3 linked regions of the Diceros bicornis minor genome follow. The protein of the gene in region 2 purifies or fractionates together with the protein of the main gene of each other region. This does not show direct contact. Links are inferred from orthologs where the notes say so. Each region holds a gene or a part of one and is shown on either strand. Other genes may lie near its edges.

Evidence for each region. Proteins that work in one complex are often made in the same cells at the same time.
Region 1: the proteins of melanoma-associated antigen 10-like (region 2) and KAT2A purify together in Homo sapiens (affinity purification with mass spectrometry; 3 studies listed by BioGRID and IntAct, counting the BioPlex papers as one, with this or other methods). This does not show direct contact. The link is inferred for Diceros bicornis minor from reciprocal best matches to the Homo sapiens genes MAGEA10 and KAT2A.
Region 3: the proteins of melanoma-associated antigen 10-like (region 2) and FAM216A purify together in Homo sapiens (affinity purification with mass spectrometry; 3 studies listed by BioGRID and IntAct, counting the BioPlex papers as one, with this or other methods). This does not show direct contact. The link is inferred for Diceros bicornis minor from reciprocal best matches to the Homo sapiens genes MAGEA10 and FAM216A.

Annotation. Positions count from the first base shown.
Region 1 is NC_080757.1:41,309,332-41,316,833, reverse strand, and holds the start of KAT2A (histone acetyltransferase KAT2A), read left to right. Parts: upstream 1-4,491; 5' UTR 4,492-4,545; coding exon 4,546-4,884; intron 4,885-5,023; coding exon 5,024-5,147; intron 5,148-5,497; coding exon 5,498-5,643; intron 5,644-5,743; coding exon 5,744-5,833; intron 5,834-6,128; coding exon 6,129-6,310; intron 6,311-6,405; coding exon 6,406-6,597; intron 6,598-7,474; coding exon 7,475-7,502. Other genes in the region: RAB5C (ras-related protein Rab-5C), read left to right, coding at 1-26, 877-992; HSPB9 (heat shock protein beta-9), read right to left, coding at 2,639-3,121. UniProt on the Homo sapiens protein: Protein lysine acyltransferase that can act as a acetyltransferase, glutaryltransferase, succinyltransferase or malonyltransferase, depending on the context.
Region 2 is NC_080781.1:136,909,546-136,915,339, reverse strand, and holds melanoma-associated antigen 10-like, read right to left. Parts: upstream 1,630-5,794; coding exon 523-1,629; 3' UTR 520-522; downstream 1-519. UniProt on the Homo sapiens protein: Not known, though may play a role in embryonal development and tumor transformation or aspects of tumor progression.
Region 3 is NC_080774.1:8,983,359-8,990,507, reverse strand, and holds the start of FAM216A (protein FAM216A), read right to left. Parts: upstream 3,012-7,149; 5' UTR 2,955-3,011; coding exon 2,863-2,954; intron 1,505-2,862; coding exon 1,464-1,504; intron 1-1,463. Other genes in the region: GPN3 (GPN-loop GTPase 3), read left to right, coding at 3,705-3,752, 6,306-6,414.

The DNA.
Region 1 (7,502 bases), on a different chromosome or scaffold from region 2:
CGTGAATGAAATTTTCATGGCAATAGGTAAGGTGCCTCTCCTCCCCTCCCCCCACCAGGGGCATACTGCTTATCTGATGTTCTTTTTTTTTGTGTGAGGAAGATCAGCTCTGAGCTAACATCCATGCTAATCCTCCTCTTTTTTTTGCTGAGGAAGACCGGCTCTGAGCTAACATGTATTGCCAATCCTCCTCCTTTTTTTTCCCCGAAGCCCCGGTAGATAGTTGTATGTCATAGTTGCACATCCTTCTAGTTGCTGTATGTGGGATGTGGCCTCAGCATGGCCGGAGAAGCAGTGCGTCGGTGCGCGCTCGGGATTGGAACCCGGGCCGCCAGTAGCGGAGTGTGCGCACTTAACCGCTAAGCCACGGGGCCGGCCCTTATCTGCTGTTCTGTAGGAGGTCTATGGGGTCCCTTCACCAACAGATCTTTCACCATTTTAATATTCTGGTAAAATTGTTTTCTTCTTTATCTGACTTCCAGATGCAGATAATTCCCCCAGATGTTTCTAAAGCCTGAGCCAAAGTCTCAACATGTCACTTCCTGACCCTTTAGCTTACCACCCACCGAAAGCCCCACATCACCCTCCCCCTGCCCACTTCTTAGGATTCTTTTAGCTCATTTGGCTCGGGACTCTTCTTGCTTGGGTTCCATCCTCGCTCTACCACTTACTAACTCTGCTCCTGGAGAAGTTATTTAACCTCTCTTTGTCTCAGTCTCCCAAAACACTCAGAATGCACCTGGCACCTAGAAGCGAAGCCCTCAGTATGTTAGTCATCACTGGTTGGGTGGTAAAGGCCAGATTCTCCTCGTGTGGACTTGGGAGAGAGTATCTGGGTACCCCCACAAATGCATTTTTCCCTCCTCTCCCAAACAGCTAAGAAGCTCCCCAAGAATGAGCCCCAAAATGCAGCTGGTGCTCCAGGCCGGAACCGAGGAGTGGACCTCCAGGAGAACAACCCAGCCAGCCGGAGCCAGTGCTGCAGCAACTGAGCCCCCCTTGCCTGCCCATTGCCCCCACCTCCTCCGCCTCAACGACCCGACTGGAACCAATCTAACCAATCGCACTTAACGACTCGGGCCACCACTGGGGGGGCAGGGGGAGGGGTCCACCATGATTTCTCCGTATAATTTTGATCATAGGCCGGAGTGAGTTATTCCACCTGCACCTTTCTGTACAAATACTAATTCAATTTTAAGTCTTAAGTCACTTTTTTAATATATATGATCTTCTGCTCTTCCCACTTCCTGCCCTTTCTACTGCTCTCCCACTCTTCCTTTGCTGGTAGTAGCCACGTACCCCTGTCCCCCACCCTTGTATATGGGGAGGTGGGGGCTGGAGCAGTTGCCCTTCTTTCCCTCTTGCTGATCAGCAGACTCAGCAAGAGCATCCATATCCTTACTGTGTTTGGAGTGGGCTGGTTCTGGGCGGTGGGGCAGGCGCTGAGGCTAGAGAAGGGAGAGGCAGCTCTTCCCTGAGTTGGCTGTCATCAGGCTGCGGCCCCCCCTCACCCCCTGACTCAGAGCCGGGAGAGAAACCACAGCATTACCACAGCGTTATTGTGACAGCCATGAACCCATTGCCCACAACCCCCCCCCCCCCCGTCCTTGGTCGCCCTGACCTCTGGCTCTGAGCCCTGTTCTGACAAAATCACGATGATGAGTATTTGGGGGTGGGTGGGTAAGGGGGGGAGTGGGAGGGGATGGAACCAACTTTTTCTGTATTTTGTATTGTATGTTTTCTTCAACATGTAACCAATCAGTATCTTGTCAATATAGTCAGCCGATCGATCGACCTCCCGCTTGTCTTCCTTGTCTTTCTCTGGTGGAGTTTATCAGACCATATCCTCTCTAGCTTACTTGAAGTTAATGCAGAATGAACTATTGAATCCTATTAAACAAAAGCCCCCCCCCCACCAGTGAGGGGATGCTGGTGGTCATGGTAACCAAGAGAAAGAGGCCCTTACTATTGTCAGCTGTAACTGGGTGGGAGCAGAGGTAAGAGTGACCTGGGCCTGAATCTCACCCAGTTTGAAGTTGCAAGTCTTACATTTGCCTCTCCCCAACCCCTGCAGGTTATATTGGGGTGATGTGCAGTTTATATTTGAAAATAGTTGGTCTCTGAAACACTAGAAATAAACAACATCTTTGGGGGTTTTTGGTTAGTCTGTACCATACCCATGAGGGGCTGGGTCCTCTCACCCTCCTCCCTGAAGAGGAAGGAACACCGATGGCCTCTGGAACCTTGAACTCGTCAGAAGCCCAAGACAGCACCCTCACACCAGGTCCAGTCATCTGGTCCCTGGTCTCTCAGGGCCCTCTGCTGGTTCTGGAGCCAGGTGATGCTTGGACCTTCCTGGCCCTCTGCTGCTCCCTGGTGGAGCTGCTGCTCTCAGCTGCCAAGGGCTATTTGGTCCAGGCAGTGAGCTGAGCTGAGTAGGCCAACACTGTCCCTCCCAGCTTCTCCTAGGGCCAGAGAGGCCTGATTCTTGGTGGACCACCACCTCTTGCCTTTCCTGCCTCCCTGGGCCCTCCATTTGGCCTCCCTCTACCTTTGTTATACCGCCACCTCTGACCCCACCACGGAGAAAAGACTACGGACACTAAGGCTAGGCTGCACACTACGGTTGTTTACTGGGTCAGGCTAGGTTGGAATCCTTGTTAGAGGTGCGGCTCCTGAGCCTCGGGGACGGTCCTGTTCGGGCTTCAGGGGAAGGCAGCACTGGGCGCTGGCCTCGGAAGCGCAGCTGGCCAGAGGGGGTCAGGCAGCAGGTCATGGCGGTGGGATCCAGGTCCGGTGGGAGCTGCACTTGCCGGTGCACCTGCTGCGCCATGCGGTAGCTATAGCCATCTGGGCTGCAGCCCTCCAGTTGCCGCTGGCCCGTCACCATCAAGCATCTGCCGTCCACTTGCACCACCAGCTCCTCGGGGGTGAAGCCTCTGGCATCCACCTTCATCTGGAAGCCATCCTCCACACAGACATCGTCCCGCACAGCTGCCACATCGTCCCCCAGCAGCCGCACCGGCAGCGTGGCCACTTGGTTCTGTTCGGCGAGGGCCACGCTGGGACACCGGGATGCCACCCGGCTCCCGTTGGGGAGACCGCTACCGACCCGTTGCATCCAAGTGAGCAACTGCTGTCCAAGGGCGCGAGGCCCCGAGTGTAGCGCTCGTCACTCGGGCAGGGGCGCGGACACCCGAAGAGGAGGGTCCTCACGCGGGCCCGCGCATGTCCCCTTCCGCTCCGCGCTACCCCGCGCGGCTCCGCTCTGTTCAGCCGCGCTCCCTTCGCTTCCGGCGAGGTTCGCATCTGCGGTTTGGGGTCAGCTATGCACGTCCTACCTACACGGGTCAGGTTGTCAGCCGCCCTGCCGCCCCCGTTGCTGCTTTTATCCTGGATCCTGCCCCTTTCTCGGGCCTTTCTCCACCTCCGTCAGAGGGCGCAGGCGGCCCTGGGCTGTGACCCTACTGGACCGACTAAACGAGGCTGGACGTGCGTGAGCCCGACCCTGGAGCGGTCACCAGCACAGAGCGGAGATAAGATTGAGCCTCCCGGCTCTTGCTCTGCCAAGAATCAGGCCTAGGGGCAAGAAGGATTGTCCCCTGAACAGAACCATCCGAATGTGACGGCGGAGTCATCCATTCTCGGAACGTCCTGCCTTTCTCTGACCATGCACGGTCCTGTGACACATGGGGATGGGGAAGTGAATGCATCTTCCTCGTTTCCTTCATTCATCCGACTCTGGGCCTACTGTGGCAGGCTTGGGGCTGGGCTCTGGGACCGCAGAGATGAAGACGGGCCCTGCCCTCGAGGTGCCCAGTGTGGGAGAGCCGTTCCCATACGCAGGGAAAGGCTTCTGCCCTCCTCTGTCTCTACCTCTTCCCCAACTCAGTAGCCTTCCCTCTGACCATGGCCATGCCTCTGGCACTCAGAGCTTTTACAATAAACTCTTTTTGCTGAAATGTAATGTACATACAAAAAAGCACACAGAAGGGTACAGTTGAATTATTGCAAACAGAACACCCGTGTAACTACTTCACAGGTCAAGAAAGAACTGTTGCTACTTAATCTCCACCGTAGCTGCAATTCTGTGTCTGGGGACATGTGGGACACGGCCGGGTGGGAGTGGGAGGGAGACATGACGGGAGCCAGTGCGACCTCAGTCCCCTGGCCTGTACTTCCACCCTCGGGCTTGGGAGGTGGGCAGAGCCCACGATTCTCTCAAACAGAAGCCTGTTTTCTGGGATGCTTCTCCTTGTCCCCAGGGAGACAGTAATCCGGACTCTCCCGGAAGCCTTCAAGAGAGATTAGAATTGACAAAGGGTCAAGCTGGGGTGCTGGCTCGGGACTCACTTGGTTGTCTTGGACCGAAAAACAGGACAGAAAAGTCTGGAAGCCGGAGGCGAAGAGAGCGGCGGTGGAAGACTACAACTCCCGTCATGCTCCGGAGCAGTGACGCCTGCGCACTGTGCGCCGGTTGCCCATGCGGCCCTAGGGCTGGGAGCGCCGCGCTGCGCCGCGCCGCGCTCAGCTTCGGGGGAGGCCATGGCGGAACCTTCCCAGGCCTCGACCCCGGCTCCGGCCGTGCAGCCCCGTCCCCTTCAGTCTCCAGCCCCTGCCCCAACTCCGACTCCTGCCCCCAGCCCGGCTTCGGCCCCAACTCCGGCTCCCACTCCGGCACCAGCCCCTGCCCCAGCTGCAGCCCCAGCTGGGAGCACAGGGACGGGGGGGCCCGGGGTAGGAAGTGGGGGGACCGGGAGCGGGGGTGATCCGGCTCGACCTGGCCTGAGCCAGCAGCAGCGCGCCAGCCAGAGGAAGGCGCAAGTCCGGGGGCTGCCGCGCGCCAAGAAGCTTGAGAAGCTAGGGGTCTTCTCGGCTTGCAAGGTGGGGGCGGGGCCTGGGGTGAGAGGGGGCGGGGCTTGGGGCATCCTAGGGCCCGGGTGGGAATTGGGGCAAAGCTCTGGCTAGGGAGCGGCTCCTCGTCCCGGGATACAGAGTTATTGACTGATCCTTCTGCCTCCAGGCCAATGAAACCTGCAAGTGTAATGGTTGGAAAAACCCCAAGCCCCCCACTGCACCTCGCATGGACCTGCAGCAGCCCGCTGCCAACCTGAGCGAGCTGTGCCGCAGCTGTGAGCACCCCTTGGGTAAGGCAGGTAGTGCCCTTGGAGCTGGGGAGGGTGGGCAGGTGCTGGGGCCTGCTTGGGCAGGATGACTTTAAGTGCCACAGAGCTTCTCCTCTGAAAAACCAAAGATGCTTCCTAAGCAGGGATTGGGTTGGGAGGGTGCATGCCCTATGGGAGAAGAAAGGAAATCTGCCAGCCCAGAAGACACGAGGGGCCACCCAAGGGCTGACAAAGGAGCAGTCAGTCTCGTTGCTGGTCACACTGGTTGGAGGGAGTGAAGGTGAATCTTGGCTGGTGATGAAGGGGGGCAGGAAGCCCTGTTGGTCTCTTCTGTTCGTTCTTCCCAATGCTGCGGTCTGTCCTTCTTGCAGCTGACCATGTCTCCCACCTGGAGAATGTGTCAGAGGATGAGATTAACCGGCTGCTGGGGATGGTGGTGGACGTGGAGAATCTGTTCATGTCTGTTCACAAGGAGGAGGACACGGACACTAAACAGGTCTATTTCTACCTCTTCAAGGTGAGCTTCCTCTGAGTGAGTGAGGGAAGGAGGTGAGGCTGTGGGGTCTGCGGCTCTGATCTCTGCTTACCTACGCTCCTCCCTTTTCCTCTTCCTCCAGCTCTTGCGGAAATGCATCCTGCAGATGACCCGACCCGTGGTGGAGGGGTCCTTGGGAAGCCCCCCATTTGAGAAGCCTAATATTGAGCAGGTGGGATGAGGAAGGTGGTGAGAGAATTGGGGGCATCTTGGAAGTGTGGGAAGCCCTTGTTCTCCATCCTCCTCAAGCTGAGAACAGGGGAGAGGTTCAGGGAAGGGAGGACGTTTTGTACCAACCTCAGAGTGGGCATGGGGGTGGGGAGGGGACACAGTTTCTCTTCACAGAGAGCCCCAGAGTGAGAGGAGAGCCTGGCGCCTGCCCTCAGGAAGCACCTATTTTTGGATCAGAAGTGCTGCTGGCTGTTCACCCCTCCTTCCTGGTTTTGTCCCCGCCCACCCCTTCTCAGGGTGTGCTGAACTTCGTGCAGTACAAGTTTAGTCATCTGGCTCCCCGGGAGAGGCAGACGATGTTCGAGCTCTCAAAGATGTTCCTGCTCTGCCTTAATTACTGGAAGCTCGAGACGCCTGCCCAATTTCGGCAGAGGTCTCAGGCCGAGGACGTGGCTACCTACAAGGTCAATTATACCAGGTAGGCCCAGCCAGGGACAGCATGGGGGAGGCTTGTAGGCCCAACCTGGGTTCAGTGGTTTCCACGCTCACTTACCACCCCCCCACTCCCTGCAGATGGCTCTGTTACTGCCATGTGCCCCAGAGTTGCGACAGCCTCCCCCGCTACGAGACCACTCACGTCTTTGGGCGAAGCCTTCTCCGCTCCATCTTCACTGTTACCCGGCGGCAGCTGCTGGAGAAGTTCCGGGTGGAGAAAGACAAGCTGGTGCCCGAGAAGAGGACCCTCATCCTCACCCACTTCCCCAAGTAAGGCTCATTCTGGCCTATTTGGGTTTTGCCCCAAGTTCACATCCTCCCTGTTGTCCCCTTTTTTCCAGGAAGGCTTCCTGGATTGGTCCCTCCTCTCCCTCCATGAGCCTTCTGGGATCTGGGCATCTACCTGGCAGACTTGCCCATGGCCCAGACGCACCTTGCTAGCATTTGCCTTTGCGTGTACTAGTCTGGGGATGGCAGGTACATGGCCCGAGTGCTAACACTATCCCTGCCCACACCCCAGGTAGACGTTACTAATTGTTTCCCACGGGGCCTGGACACAGCCTCAGAATCCTTCCCACCACAGCACTCCAAGAAACCAGAGCTTACACTTGAGGTGAAACCGATTTCCGCCCCTGTTCTAGTCCTTTCTGTAAGATTTTCCTCTGTTCTGCCACACTTTCCTTTCATTTTAAACCTGGCTCATAGCTGCCCAGTTCAGGAAGACTTTATTGACTAATCCAGGGCCTCCAGTGCTGCCCTAGGTAGGAATATGAGGTGGCAGGAGGGGTGGACTCTGAGCCCCATTTTGATACTGAGGCCCAGGGTGACTTGGTGCCCTGCCTGGCCACACAGCACAGGACAGCATCAGTTCAGACCCTGTGTCCCTGTGCTGTACACGTGGCACACTGGTCCTCTGATCTCTGTCCTGGATTGTCCTGTCCTCTTCGACTAGGGGCTCCCAGGAGGCGGGGGGGCCTGTGCCTCCCCCAAGTCAGAAGGCAGAGAGGCTGTCTCCGTTTTTAGGTTCCCAGTTCCCCGAGAGCAGGGTCTGTCTCTTTGACCCACCTCCAATCCCTCTGGTGTCTGGCCCAGGCTGCTCCCTTGGCTGGAGGACAGAGTTGTGAGACAGACTGTACCCTCCCCACAGGTTCCTGTCCATGCTGGAGGAGGAGATC
Region 2 (5,794 bases):
ATTTATTACTCATTTAATTTCTTCTACATTCTTGAATAAGCTGAGAAAATCAAGGTATCTACCTTTTCATTTTACAGAATGATAGACTAAAAATGATAATAGAATTCAAAAATTGCCGTTTAAATTTCTTCTCTATTTTACTGCTAAGTTCTTTCGCATTTCCAAGGAAATTCCTATTCCAATGCCAAGTTGTCTTGTTTCAGACTAAATAAAATGGAAGGTTCCCCTCCTCCTTTCTTTTTTACAAAATAGCAAAACTTTCTTTTAAACTGAATAAACAGCAATAAATGTGTGACCAACGTCATTCACAAACTTAGATTCGGAAGCTAATAAACTTTATACTAAAAGTAACAACAATTTAAAATACAAAAAATAGAAAAAGATACATTTCAAAGTCCCCCCTATGGAACAGGAACACAAAGATGTTACGCTCTATGATGCCCTCAGCCCCAGCCTGGCCCTCCAGTGCTTAGATCATTGACTGTCCTCTTAAAACACAAAGGGAAGACTATGCCTTAGACCTCACTCATGGAAAGAGAAGCTACTGGGCACGGTACTACAACTGGCACTGGCTGTGGCAGTAGCACTATCCGTGCTGGCAATTCTGGCCTGGGCTCTCTCTTCCTGATCTCTCAAAGCTTCCTCGTACCACACTGGGAAGGATCTGGGGTCACTCCCAGTGACACCGGCCAAAAACTCCAGGAGACTCATCTTGCTGGTTTCAGCGTGGGCCCTGGGACCCCACAGGAACTCGTAGCATGGAGGATCGCTGTTGGGCACCTGCCGGTACTCCAGGTACTGTTCTTGCACCCAAACTTTGGTGAGGAGCTCCCTGGGCTCCCCATAGATGAAGTGCTCCATCCCGGCATACACCCCCATGACACTCAGCGCTTCCCAGACGTCCTCCTCAGGGGCGCAGTCACCCTCCACGAAGATTATGCTCAGGATAAGTATCAGAATGCCAGTCTTGGGCATGCTCTGCTCACCGCTCAGCATGCCATCGTAGGTGAGGCCCAGGGTGGTGACCAGGACATAGGAGTGGTCGCTGGGGTCCACTTCCTTCACGTCAACGCCAAAGACCAGCTGCATGCACTCAGAGGCTTGGCTGAAGATCACAGGGAAGTGGTCCTGGTATTCTCTGATGACCAGATTCAGCATTTCCGCCTTTGTGGTCGGCTCCTTTGTGCGATACTTGAGAAGCAGGAACTCCACCAGATCAGCCACCTTGTCATCAAGCAAGTTTCTGGGAAAGGACTCAGTTTCTGGCAGGGCCTGTGAGGTGCTCGGACCCTCCTCTTCTTGGCTGCTGGAGCCATCGCTTTCAGACTGGCTCAGTGGAGTGGAGGCCATGGCAGCGGGGGAGAGGCAGGCACTCTGAGGGCTCTGGGGAGGACTCGGGGTCCGGGCAACATCATAAACCTCCTCCGGAGTGCTTGAGATCAGAGGATTGCAAGAGGAAGAGGAGGAGGGGAAAGAGGAAGGAAAAGAGGAGGAGCAGGTGGAGGAGGATGAAGAAGCATCTTCTTCCACAACCACAGGCACCAGTGCACCCACGAGGTTCTGTGTCTCACTTTGGGACTGAAGGCCTTCCTCAAGCATGAAGCGCCGTCGCTTTGGAGCACGAGGCATGATGACTCGTGACAGGGCAGCCGGCAGGAGCGTGGGCAGTTGACCGATGGGGACGGACGGGCCTGGGGGAGACAGGGAGAGTGAGCAGCCTCGGCTGAGAGATGCACCCTTTGGCGGCTCTGACAAAGGCGACTTACAGGCCCCCTCTTTAGGGGTGCTCTCGGCTTCGCAGGGCTCTGTCCTCCTGGGCGGCCTGTGCCCTAAGAACCTGAAGGAGGAAGTGAGACGGCTCCTCAGGGTGCACCCAGCACAGCCCGAGGTTCTGGGGACGACGGTGGGGTGGGGTGGACTCGGGCGCTGCGAGGTCTCCATGGTTCTGGCATGGGGTAGCCCCTGGGACCACGTTCAGGGTGTGTACCTCACCTTGACTCCTGGCGCTGCCTGGGCCTCCTCTGCTCTGCGACCTGAGGTCACGAGCCTCAGACCAAGGGCTTCACCTGCGGGTTCCTGGAGCCCCTGTAAGAGGAAACGAGGGGGCACCTGAGGGTGCAGACTGCAAGCAGAGCCCTGGGCCCCCAGTGCTGACAGGAGTGGCGGGCTGGACTCTGTGAGGTCCCCACTGTTCTAGAGTGGGTGGTCCACTCCGTGCTCATGCAGGGTCCTCACCATTCCCCTGGCAGCCCCTGGGCCCCACCCCTCTGCTGCCCTGAGGCAAAACTCTCAGAACACCACCACACACCCCTGAGACTGAACAGAAGGAAGTGAGGGGCCCCACATCAGGCCACACCTGCCCAGGGGCTAACAGGAAGCACCAAGGGACAATAAGGGGTGGCCAAACTCTGTGGGTTCCATGTGTCCTGGGATGGGTGGTCTGCTCAATCTTCACCTTGACACCCTCAGGGCCTGGGACAATTCCCTCTGTTGACCTGAGGCCGCCCTCCTTAGGCAAAGGCCTCATCTCCTGAAGACACAGGAAGAGGAAGTGAGGGGGAATCAATCCACCCCCTGATCCCGGGTCTCCCCATGGCAGACAGAAGGGTAGAGGAGGCCTGGGCTCCATGCATCCTGCTGACTGTGTGGGTGGGGGTCCCCTCAGTCCTCACCGTGACCCCTGCCAGGGCCTGGGATCCTGCCTCAGCTGACCCGATTCCAGAGCCTCAGACCAAGGCCCTCCCTTTCCTGAGACCACGGATCTGGAAATGAGGACAGGCTCAGGCAGACAGGCGCTGCTGGGGGGTTTCCAGGGCTGACATTAGGGGCAGGCCAGATTTCTGAGGGGCCCCCTCTTTGTCCTGGGGATTGGGGTACACTCACTGCTCCCTCGGGGGCCTCACCTTGACTCCTGGCGAGAACTGGGACTCTTCTCTCAGCTGACCAGATGTGCTTCCTCGGATGACCTGACGTCGTCCTCTCAGACCAAGGTCCTCACCTGCCTGAGGGCTCTGAGAGAAACGGGAGGAGGCACCACATCCACGCCAACCCCTCACCCCTCACATCCCCCACCAGGATCACAAAAGGCTGGCAGAGGGGACCAGCCCTTCTGTCCTGGGTGGGGGTTCCCTCAGACCTCCTGTAGGTTATTCGTCTTTTCTCCTGCCAGGGCCTGCCCTTCTTCCCGGCCCCCCACCTGGATAGCTGACATCTCCCTCTGAGCAACACCTCTCCTCCCTGAGGACTCCCCACCTTGCCACCCATGGTAGAAGTGAGCATGCCATTGAGGACCACCGCCAACTGTTCCTTCCAGTGTTGAGAACAGGGGACAGCAGGACTCTGTGCCGGCCTTTCTTTTCTGAGGTGAGGGGGTATTTTCAGCCCTCATGAAGGGTCCTCACCTTGACACCTGACAGATCCTGGGACTCCTCCCTCTGCTGACCTGATGTCCCCGCTCAGACCAAGGCCTCACCTCCCTGAGATGCCCCATCCCCAACCACGTGGCAGAAGTCAGAGCAGGGTACATCCAGCCATCCTTGTCCGGGGCCTCCCTGGGGCTGAGAACAGGGGAAGCTGGCCTCTGTAAGTTTCCTTCTCTATTGGGGTGGGGGGAACCTCCATGCCCTCTGTTCCTCCCAAAGGGTCTTGTCTTGAGTCCTGACAGATTCTGGGACTCCTTCCTCTGCTGACCAAATGTGGCTGCCTCTGCTCACCTGACACCGTCCCTCAGAACAAGGCCTCACCTCTCAGAGAGCCCGAGGCAGAGGTGAGTGAGGATGCACCACCTGCGGCCACCCCTGCCGGGGGTCTGCAGGGGTGACTTGGGGCAGGGCTGATTTCAGTGAGGTCCTCCTCTGGCTGTGGAGGGAGTCCCCTCAGTGTCCTCAAGGTATTCATACTTACTCCTGGCCAGGCCTACAACCATCCCTTCTGCTAACCTGAGGATGCGTCCTGCAGGCCAAGGCCACCATCCCGCTGAGACCCCGAGGAGGAAGTGGACAGGCCACTCTCCTGACATCCTGCCTGGCCTCCAGGGACTGACCACGGGTCAGATTTCTGTTGGGGTCGCCTATGCCTGGTCTGGGGGTCTACTCAGTCCTCCCTGGGGGTCTAGGGACTCCACTCTCTGCTGACCTGAAGCCACATTCCTCACCTCCTGAAAACCCCCGAGGCAGAAGGCAGCAAATGCCTCCTCCGGTCATCCTGCCCTGGGGCCTCCCCAGACCAGCACAGGGCCACAGGATCCCTGTTTGTCCTGGGGTCCAGGGTCCCTCAGGCCTCCCTCAGCATCTCCCCCTGACTTCCAGCAGGCCCTGGGCCATCCCCTCTGCCCCCCTCAGACCCTGCTCCCTTGACCAAGTCCCCGGTCTCTCTCAGTCCCGGATGCGGAAGTCGGAAATGCGGCCTGTGCTCATGGCGCCCTGGCGCCTCCCGGGGCTGCCTGCAGGGCCGTGTTTCTGTGGGGCCCCCTCTGTCCTCCCTCAGGGTCCTCCCCTTGAGCCCTGGAAGGTCCTGGGATCCTCCCTCTGTGGATCCGAGGCCCTCACTGGCCTGAGAGCCCTGGGGGAAGTCTGTGGAGGTCACCTCAGGCCACTAAGCACGCGGACGCCCAGGGCTGATGGCAGGGGCTGACAGGGATTGCCTGGGGCTCCTCGGCCCTCCCTCTGCTCCTCTCCTGAGCTCCCAGCAGGGCCTGGGCCCCGGCCTCTGCCCCCTGAGGCCACTCCCCGCAGACCCAGGACTCCCCAGCAGGCTCCTCTGAGGACGAGGTGGGGGCAGGGAACTCTGCCTGACCACCCTGCCCCCTCCCCTTCCCCCAGGGTCCCTCAGGGCTGATGGCAGGAGCAGACCTGGACGCCGTGGGGCCAGGAGTCCTCCCTCCCGGGGCTACCTGGACACCTGGCCGGGCCTGGGCTCCTTCCCTCTGCCGCCCCGGATCCGGCCTCCCACCACGAGGCCCTCGGCTCCCTCAGACCTCGGAGGCGGACGCCAGAGGACGTCACATCCGGACGCCATGGCCTGGGGTCTCCCAGTGCTGACGGCAGGGGTGAGAGTGGTCTGGACGTTCCCTTGGCCCCGCCCTCCTCTCCTCACCCTACTCTGCCCGGCCTGGGCCTCTAGCCCTCTGCCCCCCTGGATCTGCACCCCTCACTCTCAGCTCTGACGCCCCTGGTTGTCTGAGGAGGGGGACGTGGGAGAGCGCTCTGCTGACAGCCCTGCCGGGGGTCCCCCAGAATGCACAGCAGGGGTGCAGGGGGGTTCTGTGGGACCCTGTGTTCTGGGGCCGGGGGTGCTCTTCATCCTCCCTCAGGAGGGTCCTTGTCCACCCTGGCCGAGAAGGGCTGCGGTCCCAGGGGAGGTGCTGGGTGGGGGCTGTGGTGCCCAGGGCCGTGGGGCAGGCCCTCTTCCCGTGGTGTCTCTGCACCAGCCGGCCCAACACCGCGAACCATTCTTTTTCTGGATTTCATTTGTCCTGAAAAGGCTGAGCAGCTGCAGGGGCTTCGGGATGGTGGTCCGGGTCTATGGTGACCTTGTATTGCGTGGTCGAGTGCAGGGATTTTCACTTTTTAATCTTCCTTCCTAGTAAGAAATACATTGTACGTCTCTGCCCTCTGCAGCTGTCCTGTATCTATAACACATATGTAGCTTCTATGTGCGTATAGACACATATGTGTCCACACCACGTGAATATACAAATAAACTGTATACATTCGTGTATGTTTCTATTAGTCTTTATAGATACATGTAGACTATATATATGTGTGTATACTTATTTTATGAAAGAATACCTTCT
Region 3 (7,149 bases), on a different chromosome or scaffold from region 2:
AGATTTTCAGTTAAAAGTTTGTACCTAGTAAACTCAATTAAATAAACACAGTTTCGTTTCAATATTATTGATAACAAAGGCCACTATAATCTTACATATTAAACTTTAAATTTAGTGATTTCTTCGAGATTTCGGCAATGGTTAGTGCAGATAAGTAAGACATATTTGCATACTCAAGATTTTGGATGGTTAGTGCAGATAAGTAAGAGTTATATTTGCGTACTGAAGGACTAGTTTGCCAACAAATAGAAAATCATCTGGAAATTATGTTATTATGACCCTTAAAACATAATTTGGAATCGGTAATAATGAATACCATTTCAACATTATAAAAGTTTATTTTTTAAAATCCTTTTTAAGTGATAAATGTGGGTTAATTATCTAAGAATATAGCTTTTGTGTCCTTGCTAATCAGTATTTCTGAGATGTATATTATAGCCTAGACTAAAATTTAATTCCACAAAAGCTTGATAGCATTTCTTTACAGAAAATGAAACATTTAAAAATAATAGTTAAACTCAACAACAAACAACCCAATTGAAAAATGGGCAAAGGACTTGAATAGACTTGGATGTCTCCAAAGAAATACAAACAGCCAATGAGCACATGAAAAGACACTCACTATGGCTAATCAGCAGGAAAATGCAAATCAAAATCACAATGAGATACCACTTCATACCTATAAGGATGACTCTCATCAAAAAAACAGAAAACTAGTGTTGGCTAGGATATGGGGAAATTGGAACCCTGTGCATTACTGATGGGAATGTAAAATGGTGCAGCTGCTGTGGAAACAGTATGGCAGTTCCTCAAAAAATTAAACAGAATTGCCATATGATCCAGCAATTCCATTTTAAAATGACCACATTATTTATATATGCATATATATGTATTTTTATATATATGTACATACACTCACATATGTGTGTGTTTTTCCTAGGTAACTGTAAGGACTATAAATTTTCCAAGGAAAAGTAAAGTGAATCCAGGTTTATATATCATTGAATTGAAATTTCTCTCTCCTCCAAAATTAGTGAGAGGCCTTTGAGGGCCTGTCTGACTCTTAACTCCAGCAACTCTATCGTTTATTTCAAGTGAGAGGAAAATAGGAGCACTGAGAAATATTTTATATTCTTTGAAGTTGTTCAGTTTAGATTTTTTCCTTCAATCTGCATATAAACCCCAGGCTGTGCTCTGTGCTTTTCAACCAACATCAGTTATAAACACTGTTCTTTTCAGATTCATTGCTATTTTGAAGTACTCTTTTTAAAATGCTTGATGTGAGATATCTTAACAGGAGAGAAAGAACCTGCTGGATTGTTCTTTGAAAATCTTAAAGAGTAAGTTCACCAAGGATGCTAATAAAGTCTATTTTAAAAACTCCATTGTGTAAGTGGTCATAGCTAAATTGGCTTCTCTGCACCATGTTATTTATAGGTATTTGCTTTATATGCTCTACTCACCAGTACCTTTGGAATTCTGGTAATAAGAATGTCCAGCTGATCTGTTAAAAAAAGGATTAAATAATATGTAATAATTGACAAGTTTATAAGCAGTAAAGAAAGTATTTTAAATGAAAAAAGGCAGTATTTCATATCCTTTTTACTTTTCATGTTTCCATCAGACAGAATGTCTTGCAAATTTTCTCTTTTAATTCTGGTTGTATCCTAGTGGCTCCAGGCTTTTTCAAAGTGAGTTAACTGAGATTTTTACTCTACTAGAAAGGATTGACTTTAAGCCAGATTTGGTCTTACTTTTATAGTCTCCTAATCTAATTCCTATGTTAAGCTCAATAAAGTAGTCTGGGCTTCTGTGCTATCCATGATATTTTTTTTGCTCTCTTTATTTTTAATAAAGTAACTTGGGTATGGAAAAGACTATCTTGTTCTTTATTGCATGTAATTAAAGTGTACTGGAACTGATAAGTTGGTCTGGAATGTCTCTAATTTTGTACAAGTTTTTTTTTTTCTTTTCTCAACTTAAGACAAAACACCCTTCCCTCCCTCTTCTTTCAATTTATTCAATGACCCAAAGTTCATTGATCTCTCGACATACTGGGATCCAGCACTTCACCAAGCACCGTGATGAACAGAAAAGAAACACAAGACCCCATCCCATCTTTAAAAGGTCAATCCGCCAGATACATATCAGCAGGAGCCATGACTGTGGGCTGAATTTAGAGAGGAACACCTGGCAACTCTAGATTTGGGGAATAACTGATGGAAGGGATGAGGAGGTAATGCCTTCAGCAACTAATCGTCTTCAGCATCCAGGAAATAATAGTGGACACCTGCTCAAAATGAAACGGATTTATGAAGGAAGGAATTTCTGTGGGAAGAAAATGTCAAGATCAAGGTGCCTCTAATATTCATAATCACTTGTCTCATTGGCGATTATGAATCCCGTTGACATAAAGGTGGCTAATGTCACATACAGGGAACTGAATTATTGACTTGGAAGCCCTCGGTTGAGCCGGAGGAATCTGTCCCCGTTGTCCCCCTACCCGCCTTTATGCAGAGATCCTGTGGCAAGACGGCAATTTTTCCAGTAGGTTTCGCAGCGCCCCCTCGAGGCAGAAAGACGTACGCAGGCGATTGTCGCAGTCCCTGCATTTAGTCATTGCACCAAACCCTCCTCCTAAGCTTCCCTCAGAAGCCCTTCCCCTAAACAGTGAGTCGGCTTCCATATTTCCCATCCCAGCCACCAAAAAGGTTCTCTCCTCCTCTCACTTCCGTGCACTGGGGAGCCAGCTCCCACTCCCTCCTCTACAGGGGGATCTCGACCCTGGGCTGGTCGCCGTCCTCCCTAACCCCTCAGTCTCACCCGCCGCCGCCACCCACAGTCCTGGCCCCGCAGTCTCACCCGCCGCCGCCACCCACGGTCCTGGCCACTGCGGGCGGCTCTGCGGAAGAGCTGCACTCCGTCCAGTCGGACACCGCACCCTGGCCGGGCATCTCCTCCCGGGTGCCAGGCCCGCGAGCTGTGTGCGGGAGCAGCTTTCCCCTTTCCCCTCCCCCGTCAGCACGCGTGCGTCAGGCCGGGCGATATTGGGGGTGAGAGGCGGATGCCGGATTCGAGCCCCTTCCGATGCGGTCCGGACACTGCCCGAATAGCTTCGGGAGAGCGGGGAGGGCAGATCCACGATCTTGGAGTTAAATTGGGGGAGGGGCGGGGGTTCTTTAGTTGATTGCGCGTTTGCACGTTTGCATCTTTTTGTGGAAGGGACGTGTCACGAGAAGGAAATATACATGCCCTCTAAAACAAGAAGTGACTTCCACCTCAGTATTCCAGACCCTCAGCAAATTTGCAAACCTCGAGTTCCATCATACAGGTCAAACGTCAGTACGCAAACCAAGGTCGAAAGCACCCGGCGCAGGGATGCTAATTGTTGTCGGTTATCCGTTATCACCAAGGCAACCCGGCTCCGCCTGTATCCCAACCGCAGATTTCCGCCAGCTACTTCTGCGCACGCGCAAACACTCCCCCCTCTGCCGGACGGCGCGTTTCACATGGAATTTGGCCTTCGGGACGCGCCGTAATCAGAGGTGTGGCGGAACAGAAGACGCAAAAGGAGCTTGGATTGCGATTGGTTCGCACGTCGTGTTCCCGGAACTCAGTGGGCGCCGCGCGAAGGCTGGAGGGAGCGTGGTGGTCAGACTGTTGGTGCTGTGGGACGGGAGGCGCCGGGAACCCCGGAAGCCGGCATGCCTCGATATGCGCAGCTGGTCATGGGTCCCGCGGGCAGCGGGAAGGTGAGGATTTGGCGGGAGAAGGAGAGAAAAGTCGGAGTTCGCGGGAGGCAAGGAGGTTCGGGTCCTGAGGGAGGGACCGGCGGGTGTGTGTATTGGGGACCCTGAGACCCTGAGCAGGCCGCCTCTGCAGCCTGGGCTTCAGTGTCCTTGTTGTTGTTGTTTTGAAAAGAGACTAATGATAGTTGCTAATATTGTATACTTATGCCCCAGATAGTGCGGTAAACGTCTCATTTATTTCCACAACAACTCAGTGAGATAAGTCTTATTCCCATTTTACAGATAAGGAAAATGAGACATAGAAAAGTTAAGTTCTTTGTCCAAGATCACACAACTAGTAAGGGACGGCTGGAATTTGAATCTGGTTTTATCTATCTCCAGAATCTGGCCCTGTCTCCCTCCCAAGAGGTTCAAGTGGCATCTCGTTAATCACTGTTTCTCAGAGCTTGAGACATGGACTTCTGGTATTTGAGGCGATTTTAGGAGGTACATGGGCCTGACATTAATGAGCATTGAATCATACATTGAGAAAGTTGCTCCCTTTTTAATTTTCTTTCAGTTTGCATTGAGGTGAAATTGTCAGTTTGATGTTAGTGTATCTTTTTTTGTTTTAAGATTTTATTTATTTATTTTTACCCCCCCAAAGCCCCAGTAGATAGTTGTATGTCATAGCTGCACATCCTTCTAGTTGCTGTATGTGGGACCCCGCCTCAGCATGGCCGGAGAAGCGGTGCGTCGGTGCGCGAACCCCGGGCCGCCAGCAGCGGAGCGCGCGCACTTAACCACTAAGCCACGGGGCTCTCCCTTATGTTGGTGTATCTTTAACACTTCTTTAATCCCCAAGTGTTTTCAGAGAGCAGATCTTAGACTCAGCTTTTGACAGGCAATTGTATTTAGCTTGAATGAAAAGAGTTATAAAGTTGTATTTAATTTTATGGTTACCTTCATGTTATGATAAATATAACTGGTTTTCTGTTTATGATAGACATACAGTTTTTTCTTGTAAACAAGTATTAAGGGAATAATATTAGGGACATTCAAATATGGTAGAAATGGTGAACGTATTAGTCAAATAACAGGAGTGTGGGAAACACCCGAGTCTGTGGAGGTGTTGTGTGGCTTAAATCTTTAAATTAACACATCGTTCTGAGGTTTGTCCTCAGTCTGGGTGTAGGAGTTATACATGTGACTATGATATGGCTCTTGCCTACCCAGACCTATAGTCTATCTGGAAATACAGATAAATGACTTGTCAGTTAACATACAGTGTGATGCATGGAGAGGGCCTCCTAGGCAGAGAGAACAGTATGTGTAAAGTCACTGAGGAGAAAGTGTGATAGAGGTTATTTCTATATTCTGGACTGCTTTTTGGACTGATTGTGTTAGGTAAGTATCTTTCTATAAATTTTTGGTGCTTATGATCAGAAATACTCATTGAGCATGTTCTTTGTGCCAAGCACTGTTCTAGGCCGTTGGGGATTGTGTTATTGAATAAAAGACACACACGCAAATCTCTGCCCTTATGGAGTTTATATTCAAACATTAAGTCAGTCGATTATAAATCATATTAAGTCAGTCGATTATAAATCATTATCAAGCATTTATTATGTATCAGGTACTGTGCTAGTTAGTCCCTGGACTTATAAAACTGCGTAAGACACATCCCAGCCTTTATTTTTTTTTTTTTTTAATTTTTATTTATTTTTTCCCCCAAAGCCCCAGTAGATAGTTGTATGTCATAGTTGCACATCCTTCTAGTTGCTGTATGTGGGACGCGGCCCCAGCATGGCCAGAGAAGCGGTGCCTCGGTGCGAGCCCTGGATCCGAACCGTGGGCCGCCAGCAGCGGAGCACGAGCACTTAACCGCTAAGCCACAGGGCCGGCCCGACACATCCCAGCCTTTAAGTAGAGGTTGGGAGAGACAGACAAGTAGCCTAGAGATTTTTAACGTAGTGTGGTAATGACTACATGAGGGATAAAGAATTCTGTAAACCAAAAGTTACAAATTGATAGCCCACCTCCATGCTATTTATTGACGTCAATGTTCTCTCATCATGGAATGCTCTTCCCCTGGTTTGGCAAGCGCATTCCCATCCCTTGGCTCAAATATCGTCTCCTCAGAGAAATCGTCTCTGACCACCCTACCTAAAGCCTTGTTTGGACTGTTCACGTCCTAGTGGAGACACTATGTGTTAGTTGCTGCACTGTGTAACCAGAAATGCTCCCTTTAAATTCCGCTCATTGCACGTTAGAGCAGGAAGGAGTCTTAGTGATCATGGAGGTCATCCTAGTTAGAGATGAGAAAATCGAGGGGCAGAGTGGAGAAGCAGCTTCTCCCAAATTACCCTTGAGTCCAAGCCAGTTCTGCAGCCCAGTCAGGTGTCCTGATTCCCAGCGCAATGCCTTTGCCCTTTTCAGACAGCTTTTTAGTCGATGAACACATAATTTTGGCCTTAGTAGACACTGCCCAGGGGGTGTAGAGAGTCCTTCTGGGGGTGCAGGCAGTAGCACTGCACTGCCTGTTGCTCTGACTCCTCATGCCTTGTGACATTGCAGAGCACCTACTGTGCCACCATGGTCCAGCACTGTGAAGCCCTCAATCGGTCTGTCCAGGTTGTGAACCTAGATCCTGCAGCAGAACACTTCAACTACCCCGTGATGGCTGGTGAGTTCTGAGCAGAGCCTTCCTCCTCCTTCAGGAAAAATAAGGGTCTGGGGACGCAGAGAGTGCTGGCTGCTCAGCACAGAAGCTAAAAATCAATTATTACAGTCTGGTCCCCTGTTTTCATGGTGAACAGCATGAGGCTGGGTATCATTTGGTGACATCCACTCGTGATGATGTATGTGTCAGTATCCTTTCTTGGTCTTTGATGTAAGAATTAAAAGTGAATAGACTCCTCCCTCACCACCCTTCCCTTCTGTGCCTTTCAGGCTTAGTCCTGCTGTGGTGAATTGGGTATACTGCTGATCATACTATTAGTGAGCAGCCTAAGTGCTTTGCTTTTTTAAATTCTTTTAATGTATTCATTCACATGTCTGTCGAACACTTACTTTATGCCAGACACCAGGGTTATAGCAGAGAACAAGACAGATACTATCCCTGCCTTCACAGACCTTTTAGCAGGGGAGATAAGCAATAAGCAAAATGATAAACCTATTACAGATTGGGATAAGGACTGCAAATAATCTGATGAGAAGGAATAACTGGGGGAGGTTGATTTACGTGGGGTAGTCAGGGACACTGTCTCTGAGGAGGGGATATTTGGGCTTAGACCTGAAGATGGTAATGTACTCACCAAGCTGAGGAAAGACTTTCCAAGATGAGGGAACATTAAGGTCAATAAATAGCCAAGAGATGGGAAAAGGTTTGGTATATTCCAGAAAAAGCAAAGATGTTGAT